Arabidopsis thaliana: one gene and its partner. The protein of the gene in region 1 interacts with the protein of each later gene in a pairwise test. Each region holds a gene or a part of one and is shown in the gene's direction. Other genes may lie near its edges.

What was found. Proteins that work in one complex are often made in the same cells at the same time.
Region 2: the proteins of U2AF35B (region 1) and AT4G00870 interact in binary tests that used the Arabidopsis thaliana proteins (3 or more experiments, as listed by UniProt).

The regions. Positions count from the first base shown.
Region 1 is NC_003076.8:17,168,442-17,174,873, reverse strand, and holds U2AF35B (Zinc finger C-x8-C-x5-C-x3-H type family protein), read left to right. Parts: upstream 1-2,086; 5' UTR 2,087-2,616; coding exon of another isoform or gene 2,617-2,910; 5' UTR 2,911-3,294; intron 3,295-3,571; 5' UTR 3,572-3,577; coding exon 3,578-4,429; 3' UTR 4,430-4,783; downstream 4,784-6,432. Other genes in the region: AT5G42825 (uncharacterized protein), read right to left, coding at 2,617-2,910; IPK1 (inositol-pentakisphosphate 2-kinase 1), read right to left, coding at 5,537-5,686, 5,905-6,432. UniProt on the Arabidopsis thaliana protein: Necessary for the splicing of pre-mRNA. Probably active at the 3' splice sites.
Region 2 is NC_003075.7:360,325-366,068, reverse strand, and holds AT4G00870 (basic helix-loop-helix (bHLH) DNA-binding superfamily protein), read left to right. Parts: upstream 1-2,359; 5' UTR 2,360-2,429; coding exon 2,430-2,690; intron 2,691-2,828; coding exon 2,829-3,839; 3' UTR 3,840-4,136; downstream 4,137-5,744. Other genes in the region: AT4G00872 (Plant invertase/pectin methylesterase inhibitor superfamily protein), read left to right, coding at 1,333-1,553, 1,628-1,922.

The DNA.
Region 1 (6,432 bases):
CTGAAATAATTATTTTTAAGATATCTTAGTTCACACGATATAAAATTAATTTAAACTAAACTCACTTACATCTTTAGCAAGTGTTGTATACTCTGGGCGGAACAAGTGCAGTTTTGCGGCCACATGTATAATTTTTAGGAATACCAATGCCTGAAGAAAAAGTCAGACGTTTCACAACTCCTACCACGTCAAAATGTCTAACATTATTAGGTGCTTCGTAGCCAGGTTCGACATTCTACACAATCAAGTGAAGCCACGGCTTAGGACATTATAGTAGAGGAGCATATTTTTATAAAAAAGTTTTAAGACTTTTATGTTATAAAAAAAATCAATTATAAGCATTTTTCTATATATTTATATTTGTTAAACTTTTCATTTACTATCTTTTTTTCATCTTTTTAAATTAATAAAATGTCTTATTAATGAATTTAGTTTAGTAAAATTTTAGATTTAAGAAAAATAAAACCTTAAACTCTAAAATTTTGATTACAAAAAAAAAGTCAAAGACTTTCTAATGTAAGGTGCTTGAACTTTGATTACAAAATAAAAACTTTGTTTTTATTAATCAAATAAATGAGTTGGCTTTGCTATCCATTAAGACAATTATGTTTGAAAAACTCGATTACGTGAATTTGATGAATGGTTTTGGAGGTAAAAATCTAAATAGAGGTATATTTAAAAAATATAATTTTGTTTTTTTTTCCTATTTTTTTGCTTACAAAATGCTTATAAAGTTCAAAAAAAAAAATCTATAAAGTTTTAGTATAACTTTTATATACTATTAATTTTTTGATTATGCAAAAAACAAATAAAGGGCATAAATGTTTTATATCTGTAGGGCATTCCTACAAATATTAAAAGTTTTAGTATAACTTTTAATATATATATATTATTGTTTTTCAAATTAATTCTTACTAGTCAAAGTTAATGGGATTGTTAGAAATTATTCACGTAAACAAACAAATATATATTTATATATATATGTATATATACTATTATTATTCAAATTAATTCTTACTAGTCAAAGTTAATGGGATTGTTAGAAATTATTCATGTAAACAAAGAAATATATAAAATTTTCTTCTATTTAAAAAAGCAAAAAAATTGACTCTTGAATTTTGGTATAGTACTGGTTTAGCTAAGGATGTACTAAAATTTATTATTGAAGTTGATCGATGAAGATGACAACACCGTACTATATATATACACATACTAAGAGGGAGAAAATAAAACACTTAGTTAAGTATACATCGAGGAAAATGACTTTCAAAATTAAGAAGAATGGTTTAATGGTGCAATTGCGTATTAGTTCTCATATGATTTAATTTTTAAATATCTATTTTCACTTTTCGTATAAATTTTACTTATTCTAATAATATCTCTTAAATTTATAAGATCTTGTGTGACCGTTTTTTGGTATGTGTCACTAGTTACATTATTGAATTTAAGGGTTCGATAAAAACTTATGGAATGATCGGGTAAATATATTTAACCACGGATACTTATTTGATTTTACATCTAGGTTTTTTAATGTTAAAAGTAGATTGATCACCTAAATTTAAGTCTAGGGATATGTACGAAACAAAAATGTTTAACAACATACTCGTAAGAACCTTAAATGAGCAATACTTTCTTTACCAATGAAAGCTGCTGTTAGAGGGCATCCTGAACATGTGGAGGTTAAAATTAATGACTCTCTAACTATTTTGTTCAAACAGAATTTCATAGATTTTCCATTTTTTATTTTACTCATTTTGTAAATAACCTCATTTTACCATTGATCAAATAAATTTAACATTTCATATAAAAAAAAACCTCATTTGAAAATTGTATTTAAGTATTCAATTATTTGGAGATTGTATTCAAGTATTTAATTTGACAAATATAATTTGGTTAAATATTTCAAGTATTCTAAAAACATTCAGATATTTCAGTTATTTCAGATAGTTTGGTTATTTTGAGTGTAAACATAACTAATATCTTTAAATTATAAATTATAAATTTGGCTATCTTGATTATTTGAAATATAATTAAGAATAACATTTTAGATATATAATTGTATTTCAGATAAGTCTGACATTCACTAGATTTTTAATTTATTTTTAATTTTATTCCCATATTTTTTTTTTTTCTTCTCATAAGTGTATTATATTAACCACCAAAAGAGGAAACAAAGCATTAAAGCTTACAACGATATGTGCAGAAAGAAAAGTTAGGCCCAACATAGCCCATAAGATTAACATCTACGGCATAAAGATGTTTTGACATTTGGACTCTATCCAATACACGTGTCCACGTGATATTACAACTGCAACACAAGATGAAGAGTCATCGGAAGTGTACCGACATCAACCTTCGCCGCCGATGAACACCGAATCCGGTGAGGAATGCATCGCCGAAACATCGCACAATGAATCCTTGTAACCACCGAAATAAAACTGAACGGTGCTCCATTTAAAAGACACAGCAAAAAGGAATCATAATAAGCATCGGAATATTCTTCAATCTTTCAACCCGAAGACATAATCGCTTGATAGATTTCTGCAAATCGAAGTTTCTAAAGACACAAGACAGAAATTAATCTTAAGTAACTAGCACCTAAAACTAATTACCATCTCAAATCTGTTGAGATTTATTGAAAAACAAAACTAAAATATCAAAGCAATCAGCATAAAACTGATTGACTACGAGCAAGGATACAAGCGGCCAAAACCTCTTATGAAAGCAGGATTTGCCGTACGGGAACCGGTCATCTCCACTAAAAGAGCTAGAAGATACCGGGCAAAAGCCCAAATTATTTGGAACGGCTATCATCGGAAAATTCTTGTAGGTGGAGACAAAAAGCTTTCCCTCTCTGAAGGTTTTGTGAGAGAGAAGAGAGAGAGAAGCTTTAGCTCTTTTTATTCCCATATTTTTTTAAAAAAATCATTCAGATATTAATTATCTAGTTCTGTTCGTTTCCTTCCAATCCAGTTCAGTTTAGTTTGGTTTATTCGGTTCTGAGCCGGAGCAACAAAAGGATCAATCTTAAAATCCTCGTTATGTTATGACGATTTTGACGAGGACCAATATTGTAACTTTCTATAGTTTATTTTATTATTCCTCCTTGTAGAATAGTTTATTTGCAAAATAAACCCATATTAATATCTCTTTCTCTTTTTTTCACCACACTCTCTCTCTCTCTCCGGCTCACACGAGTCGCTAATCAAATAAACCTAAACCCTAGATCGTGATCGGCAACGGCACCTCCTCGTCGGCGATAGCTTCTCTTCCACTAAAAGAAAATCCTCTTCGGTATTCTTCTTCCTCTAATCAATCTCTCTCTCCGTTTCGGATTCTCATCTCCACTCGATGACTAGAAACGTCTCGATCTGTTTTAGATTTGACAACGATTCATGATTCTGATTCGTTCATTGATTTGATTCTCTTTGATTTTGTGTTAACTCTCGTTTATAAGCTTAGATTTGGTTCTCGTCTCTGATTCTGAATCGTTCTTGTAGTGATTTGATTTATCATATAAGCGTAGAAGAACAATTTGTGTTTAGTTGAATTTGATTTTTGTTATGTTTAGGTGAGAATGGCAGAGCATTTAGCTTCAATCTTTGGTACTGAAAAGGATAGAGTGAATTGTCCGTTTTACTTTAAGATTGGTGCTTGTCGTCACGGTGACCGGTGCTCACGGCTTCATAACCGTCCCACCATCTCGCCGACGCTTCTCCTCTCGAACATGTACCAGAGACCTGACATGATAACTCCAGGTGTGGATCCTCAGGGACAGCCGTTAGACCCGAGTAAGATCCAAGACCACTTTGAGGATTTCTACGAAGATATTTTCGAAGAACTCAACAAGTTTGGTGAAGTGGAGAGTCTCAATGTTTGTGACAATCTTGCTGATCATATGATTGGGAATGTGTATGTTCTGTTTAAGGAGGAGGATCACGCAGCTGCTGCGTTGCAGGCTTTGCAGGGGAGATTTTATTCCGGTCGTCCTATCATTGCTGATTTCTCTCCTGTGACGGATTTTAGGGAAGCTACTTGTAGGCAGTATGAAGAAAACAGCTGTAACCGTGGTGGGTACTGTAATTTCATGCATGTGAAGCAGATTTCGAGGGAGCTTAGGAGGAAATTGTTTGGGAGGTATCGTCGTTCATACCGTCGGGGAAGCAGAAGTCGAAGCAGGAGTATAAGCCCTCGACGTAAGAGAGAGCATTCGCGAGAGCGAGAGAGAGGGGACGTTAGGGACCGTGACCGGCATGGAAATGGGAAAAGGAGCAGTGATAGATCAGAGAGGCATGATCGGGATGGTGGTGGAAGGAGGAGACATGGAAGCCCGAAACGGAGCAGAAGCCCACGAAATGTGAGAGAAGGAAGCGAGGAAAGGAGGGCGAGAATTGAGCAATGGAACCGAGAACGTGATGAGGGAGTTTAAGGGTATCGTTTGGGCTGATTACTTCATAAAAATCGGTAAAATCTTGTAATGGATATTCATTTGGTGTTCTTTTTTTGAACTTGAAAAATGAGTGGCATGAACTCCTTAGATGATGTAAGGTGTTTACTGTATTTTGTAGAATTTTTGTTTAGAAACTAGTTCGTGAGGCAAATGATGGGTTCAGTTTTTCTAAGTTAATGTGGTAATGATCCCTTGGTTATTGTTCTTTATGATTGTCCCTTGCAATGTCTTCTTATAAGGTTTAAACACTTTGTATTGTTCGGGGAAAGAGATAAATGTTGTACGATTTTTTTGGGTGGATTGAATGAAGAAACCGAACCCAACCCAAATATTAACCCAAATATTATAAATACCCGAATGGGTGCTATGAGCCTAAACCCAAAAAACCCGAAGCGTATCGGAGCGTGTATTCGAATGCCAAGCCCTAGTCAGTTTTATTATTGTTAGTGTCCACTTTTCATGTTTAATGGATTTTGTTCTCGATAACTCAAAAAGTTATTATTTACAAGTGTGGTATCAGAGCATGGTTCATGATGCTACGGGAAACCATTTTCAATGTTTTATTAAGTAAATGTGTCGCAAAAGATGTTAGGAATTGGTTCAATCACTTGCTAAAACTTAAGTAGATGGGATTATATGACTTATCCTTTTTGTTGTGTTGTAGTATGCCGCCAAAGAGATCTCATGGTTGTGATTCAGTGGGAGAGGAGGGACGGTCCATGGGTCTGCCACCCCAAAGATACTATCTTTTGTGAGAGAGTGGGGAGACAGTATATCGGAAAACCGCTGACAAAATTTTCCATAGAAGGAGCAACAACAGTGGCTAAGCTCCACCATCTTTGTATGTACAAGCAATTCTGGCAAAACTTGACAGAGAGCATTCTGGAACAGTAAAATATCTCCAGGCAACGGCTCCATGCCGAGAGAAGACCAGGGAGAGAAAGAGATATAGAGTGAAGGAGATATAGTTCCAACAAATTTTAAGTTTAAGAAATGAACATTCATCTTTTAGGGCTTTCTTTATTATGTTCTACAACAACAGTAACCAAAAAAAAGAGAGCTAGTGGTATTGAGACGATACATGACTTAGCTGTGGGAAGGTTTTGAGTTGCCGATTTGTTCTGCCGTGTTTTCGGCTTTCTGCTTCCGATTGTAAAAGCTAATTATCTTCTTATCCAATTTGTAGTATGACTCCATTCTCTTAAGTGGTTTCAGGCTTAGATCAATGAAATGTACCTACAGTTACATAAATCAAATATCAAACAAATATAACAAAATGAAGAAACCGATTATATGGTTCCTGAGAACTCAACGTTTTCTAAGGAAATTTCTGTTCTTATAATGATTCGCGGATCCCACATTTTATTTTTAGAGAATTGTACCAATGATCTCAGCAAATATTATTAATAGTTCTTTCACCATATAAGACAAGAATGTGTTAAAATGGATCATACCTTGTAATCAAACGTTTGATTGGTCGGTTTTAGAGAGACGTAATCACCCGAGGGTTCTGAATCCCAAGCATTCCTTGATTGAAAACTGATCATAATACTACAGTCTTTGGCAGTTGCAGCTATCAAATACTCCTTCACAATCTTCAAGCTTTCATCTAAAGGTAAAGCATGTAGAGACAATTCCGCCTCCAGTGGCTTACCTTCTTTACATATAGGACAAGGCTGGTTGATTAAATCGTAATACGAATGAATCGCTCCTTCAATGTCTAATTTGTCTAGCTTCTGAATTTCAAGAAGTCTATCAAGAACTCCTGAGCCATAGACAGCGTCAGATACTAGTTGTAGAAAGCACTCTGTCCTATGACCGTCTTCTGATTGAATGAAGCCTTTGAGAGCATCCTCAAAGGCATACCCGATTTCGGGGCTGGTTCTCCCGGTGCTTTCACCTGAACCCCCTAATATGAGAGAACCATTCAAGAATACGCGGAAATTGTTTTGAGGAGTGGAATATAAAGCTTTTATAGCTTC
Region 2 (5,744 bases), on another chromosome or scaffold:
TGAAGTTCCTCCAAAGTGAGTTACAAAAGATGAAATTTGGCAATGAAAATTTATAAAAACTTCAAAAGTGGAAGCCTTTCACTGGAGGCCAATGGACTGATTCTATCGGCTTTGCCAAACTATTCTACAACAGGTTAATCATTTGGAGAAGAAAGTAATTTAGTGGTTATTTCACATATATACCACCATTCATCAATATAACTTCTATGTTACGTTTCCGTTCATAAAGATATGTGAAAACGAAGTTCCTGTAAATGAATGATTAAGTTAAGAAATTTATTCGCTAAATCTATAAATTCATCTGATCAACATTGTTGTCTACGCAATTGTTGTTCATTAAATCTTTACGGTCACAAAAATAACAACCTCATGATATGTTAGAAAAACTTTAATCATACACTTGCAAAAAAAAGTGAAGCAAAATCTACCATAAATATGCAATTGTGCAGTGGTCTTCTCCTCTTAATTTTGTTTGAAGTACGTATATTCGAAACTTTATTTCGATTATAATTTTTCGTACGATTCTTTATAAGTAAAGCAAAATAATGATGGATTGAAGAATCTTGAAAATGGAAAGAAATGGACGAGAGGCTTTTGACCATTTGTATGGCCAGAATAACAACACTCACTACCAAATACAATAACGTGATTTTGTTTAATAGATTAGATGCGGTAGGAATATATTATTCTTCGTGAACTAAAACCATGTTTTATAACGACAAAAAAAAACCCATGTTTTATAAGTTTATGGGCCAAAATTGGGCTTTTGTATTATAAACATGTTTACGGAAGTATTCAGCTAAGTATATATAAAAAAAAACAATTACACTAATTTATTTAAATTTTATTATTACCTACTTACAATTAGTAAAATTTAAAATTAACAAAAAAAAAACTTTTACTTACTTTTAGTTATTGTTTTAAGAAAAAACATCATTAATTACCCTACTTTTTTTTTTAATACTAGGAGGTTCTAAGCCAAAACATCTTAATTATTATATTGTTTATATGTCTAATAATATCCATAAATGTATTAAAAAAACTTAAAACATAAACTAAAGGGTAATAGATCATAATATTATTGAATGGAGTAAGAAAATGTATAAATTATAATTCAAAAAGAGAACTATAATCTGCTTTTCTACCCAAATGAAGTAAAATAAGACATCAATTTGCATTTCAATGGTCAGTTTTAAAGGTAAAATTAAAGACGTTAAACACGTGTAATGTAAAAGAGATCACTCATGAGTCATGACCAACCATATTCTTAGTTTATATAAGTAATTCACACCCCTTAAAAAGAAATATAGTCTATAATCAATCATACTTAGCATGAAAACGATGATCAAGTTTCTGCTGTTAATACTGGTGATCTCTCCTATGTCGATATGCGCCGAGAAGGACATGATGATAAATGAATGCCACAATGCAGACGTCCCAGCCATATGCATGCAATGTCTTGAATCCGACCCAAACTCCATTCACGCCGACCATATAGGCATAGCTGGCATCGTCATAAACTGTCTTGAATCCCACCTCCATATCATCACCAAGCAAGTTTTCACTTACAAATTATAACCAATATACAGAAATATCCTCTAATATATCAATTTTTTCATTTGTGTAGTAACATAACGAATTTATCGTCAAAGAAAGATAAAGGTGAAGTGAAAACAGCTCTGGAGATTTGCAAAAAAGACTTGTCGACGAATGCATCTACAATACTGTCGGAAGCCAAAACAAGTTTGAAAACCGGTGATTATGATAAAACCAACAAATCGATAAAGCTTGCGCTTGGCTTTCCTCTGAGATGTATGTTCAATCTCAAACGTGTCAAGTTCACGTCTCCCCAACTATTTAGTCAAATCAATATCTATGCTCAACTCTCTGACGCTGCTATGAGGATCATTGATCGCTTCTAATAAGTAATAACTCCTTATTGTTTTCTATATAACTCAACTTCGATCAATGCTTACCCCAATTTGAATAAATCATTTCCTTTATGAAATTTATAAAGTCACATATATCCATTTGTTGTAGCTCTCATGTTTTTTTTTTCTTTTCAAATTTGTCAAAATAAGTTTTCGTTTGAACCATCATTCAATATAAATCTAAATGATATATTGTCTTTTTTTTTTTTTTTTTTTTGGCAAAGAATGATATATTGTCTATTTCATCAAAGTTGGACCACTATACGATAAATTGTTGTTCTTATAACGTTAAAGTAGGAAAACAGTTCAGTTTTCACGTGACTAACTTACTACTATTGGAATATTTATCATAAACTTTAATTCACGAAAATCATTAATGAAAATTTGATATTACTACTATAATATCGTCTTCTCTATTAATTTAGAATCTTATTCATCCTTTTCCACTTGTCTTCTCTAACCCTCTAAATTCTCTTTGGTCGGGATCACTGGAAAGAAATGTATAATCTCACTTTCTCTCCATCATTGTCCTCTTCTTTGCTCTCTTTTACACAACAAACTCCTGCAGCCATAGTGTCCTCTTCTCCTCCGGATTTAGTACTTCAACAAAAACTCCGGTTTGTCGTGGAAACCTCACCGGACCGATGGGCTTATGTCATTTTTTGGCAAAAGATGTTTGATGATCAATCGGACCGGTCTTACTTGGTTTGGGTTGATGGTCATTTCTGTGGAAACAAGAACAACAATTCCCAAGAAAATGTTCATTTTTCTTTGCCTCTTATGTTATCTAATCAAAATATCCAAAATTTATTTAAATCAACTTCTTAAAAAAGTTCTATTAAGAAAATAATATAATTTTCCTTACCCTTGATTTTTTGTTTTTGTTTCTTTCTTAAGTATACAACAAACAGCATCGAGTGTGAGCTGATGATGGACGGTGGAGATGATCTGGAGTTGTTCTATGCCGCATCGTTTTACGGTGAAGATAGATCGCCGAGAAAGGAAGTATCCGATGAATCTTTGGTTTGGTTAACCGGTCCCGACGAGCTCCGGTTTAGCAACTACGAGAGGGCTAAAGAAGCCGGTTTTCACGGGGTACACACATTGGTCTCCATACCCATCAACAATGGCATTATCGAACTTGGTTCGTCTGAATCAATTATACAAAACCGGAACTTTATAAACCGAGTCAAGTCCATATTCGGGTCGGGTAAAACAACAAAACACACTAACCAAACCGGTTCTTACCCTAAACCGGCGGTATCAGATCATTCGAAAAGCGGAAATCAGCAATTCGGGTCGGAAAGAAAACGGAGGAGGAAACTTGAGACGACAAGGGTAGCTGCGGCGACGAAAGAGAAACATCATCCGGCGGTTTTGTCCCACGTGGAAGCGGAGAAGCAACGGAGAGAGAAGCTAAACCACCGGTTTTACGCTCTACGTGCCATCGTACCAAAAGTGTCACGAATGGACAAAGCGTCACTTTTATCCGACGCAGTTTCGTACATAGAAAGTCTTAAATCCAAAATCGATGATCTCGAAACTGAGATCAAGAAAATGAAGATGACGGAGACAGATAAATTAGACAACAGCAGCAGCAATACGTCTCCGTCTTCCGTTGAGTACCAAGTTAACCAGAAACCTTCAAAATCAAACAGAGGCTCTGACTTGGAAGTGCAAGTGAAGATCGTCGGAGAAGAAGCCATAATTAGGGTTCAGACAGAGAATGTGAACCATCCTACGTCGGCATTGATGAGTGCGTTAATGGAAATGGATTGTCGTGTACAACACGCGAACGCGTCGCGCTTGAGTCAGGTTATGGTTCAAGATGTTGTTGTTTTGGTTCCAGAAGGATTAAGATCGGAAGATAGGCTTAGGACCACACTTGTCCGAACCCTAAGCCTATAACAATTTCTTTGTTTTGTGACGTCAACATAGGATGTGATAATAATTTTTGTTTTTTTTTGCGACCTTTTGTTTTATTTGATAAGTACTAGAAAAATCAAATTCCTTCTAGCGATTAATGTTGTTTTATCAAAAGTTTGATCTCGTTGATACGTAGTTTATGTGTTACTTTTTTACTTTATTTCTCGTACGTACGTACTAGCTCGCTAAAAGCGCAAAGTGTTTGGTATATTGTCTTACTAAAACAATATAGAGACTGTATATTTTAAAAGAAACAACTCATTAATTGATCATTTGGAAATATTAGTTTGAAAACCATAGAGAAGACGGAGGAATTATAGACACACACACGCTTGTCCTATAATATTTAGGACCACTCTTCAGTGATAGCTTGCTAACAAATCAAGTCAATTACGTAATGAACTACCAATGCTTTATATTAATTATTCTTGGACGTACTGTTATATTAAGACACTGATTGGTTAATTTGGGGAAAAAATATTAGTACAATGCACAGAAAAATAAAGGGTACAATAATGTTGAGAAAAAAAAGTGGTACAATAATGCAAAGAGAAGAAAAGGGTACAATAATGCAATTGAATTGTATCTTTCTTATTTTGTTTGCTAATTACTAATTGCAAAAAATGTTTTTGTGCTTGAAAAAGTAATCATTCTGTATCTAACATTCACATATAAAACAGAACTAAACAATTTTGCATTTACTTAATGAGACAAAAATGTTTTGTTTTATTTGATGATCATGGTTTTATGTTTTTCTAAAAGAAATTAAAATATGTTATGCAACAAACTATCATGTGTCTATGTATACATAACCTATGATACAATATAGTTTCGACCTTAAGATTAAGTTTCTTTGACAGAAAGTCAGAAACAGTTATCTTTCACATGATCCCTTCTTCAATCCTGCTGCAACGATGTAACGGTTATGCAAAAATTTACTGATAGGTAAATCACATGAAAAATGGCCACATGCAAAAATTATGCCCGGTTCCAACTTCTAGGTTAATATGGTACTCAACAACAAAAAAAAATATTAACAATAAATACGTGTTTGTCTTCTTCTTCTTTATAGATGTTTCACTTTATAAATAGACTGTAAGTTTTTAAAACGCAATAAGAAAAACAACTGAAATCATTTTAGAAATCTTATGCGTGCAGAATAAATATTGGTGTTATGTGCATTTGAAGCTTTAGGCTTTAGCACTTTCTAAAACCTCGTTTTGAGCAAAGTCATTCAAAAGGAACTCTTAATATTTTTACAAATTGAAATAGCAATTGTAATTTAATCAGTAAAACCTCTATAAATTATCATGTTTATTAATTTATAGAGACAATATTTGGGCTAAAATATCAATTTGAGAACGGAAGAAAATTATTAATTTAATGAGATATTAATTTATTGAATATTAATTTATAGATTTTTGACTGTATATATTCTAAGCTTTGTTTTAAGAAAATTTAATCCGTTTAAAAAGATTTATCTTCATTAACCCCAAAAGAAATGATTTGTTTTAGCTTGGCCAATAGTCATGTATGGCCCAATCTGGTATAAAATCTCATAAAAAGTTTTATCTTCATTAACCCAAAGAAATGATTTGTATTAAGATGGGCCAATAGTCAAGTGTGGCCCAATTAGGAGTAAAATCTCATAAACGAAATGGGCCCATAATGGCCCAATATTTGTACACCACAATCGGAAACCCCTTTTGGGTCATTTCAAGTTTGACGAGAAACGTAAATCGCTATTTCTTCTATTCCTCCCTAAAAATCTACCAACGAGATTCTTCTCGAAAATTTCCTGCGCCTCTCCGTGTCTGTGAAATCGATTCAGGTAAATCACTCTTCTCGAATCGATGCTTGTTTTGTGAAATACCGATTCTATCAGAT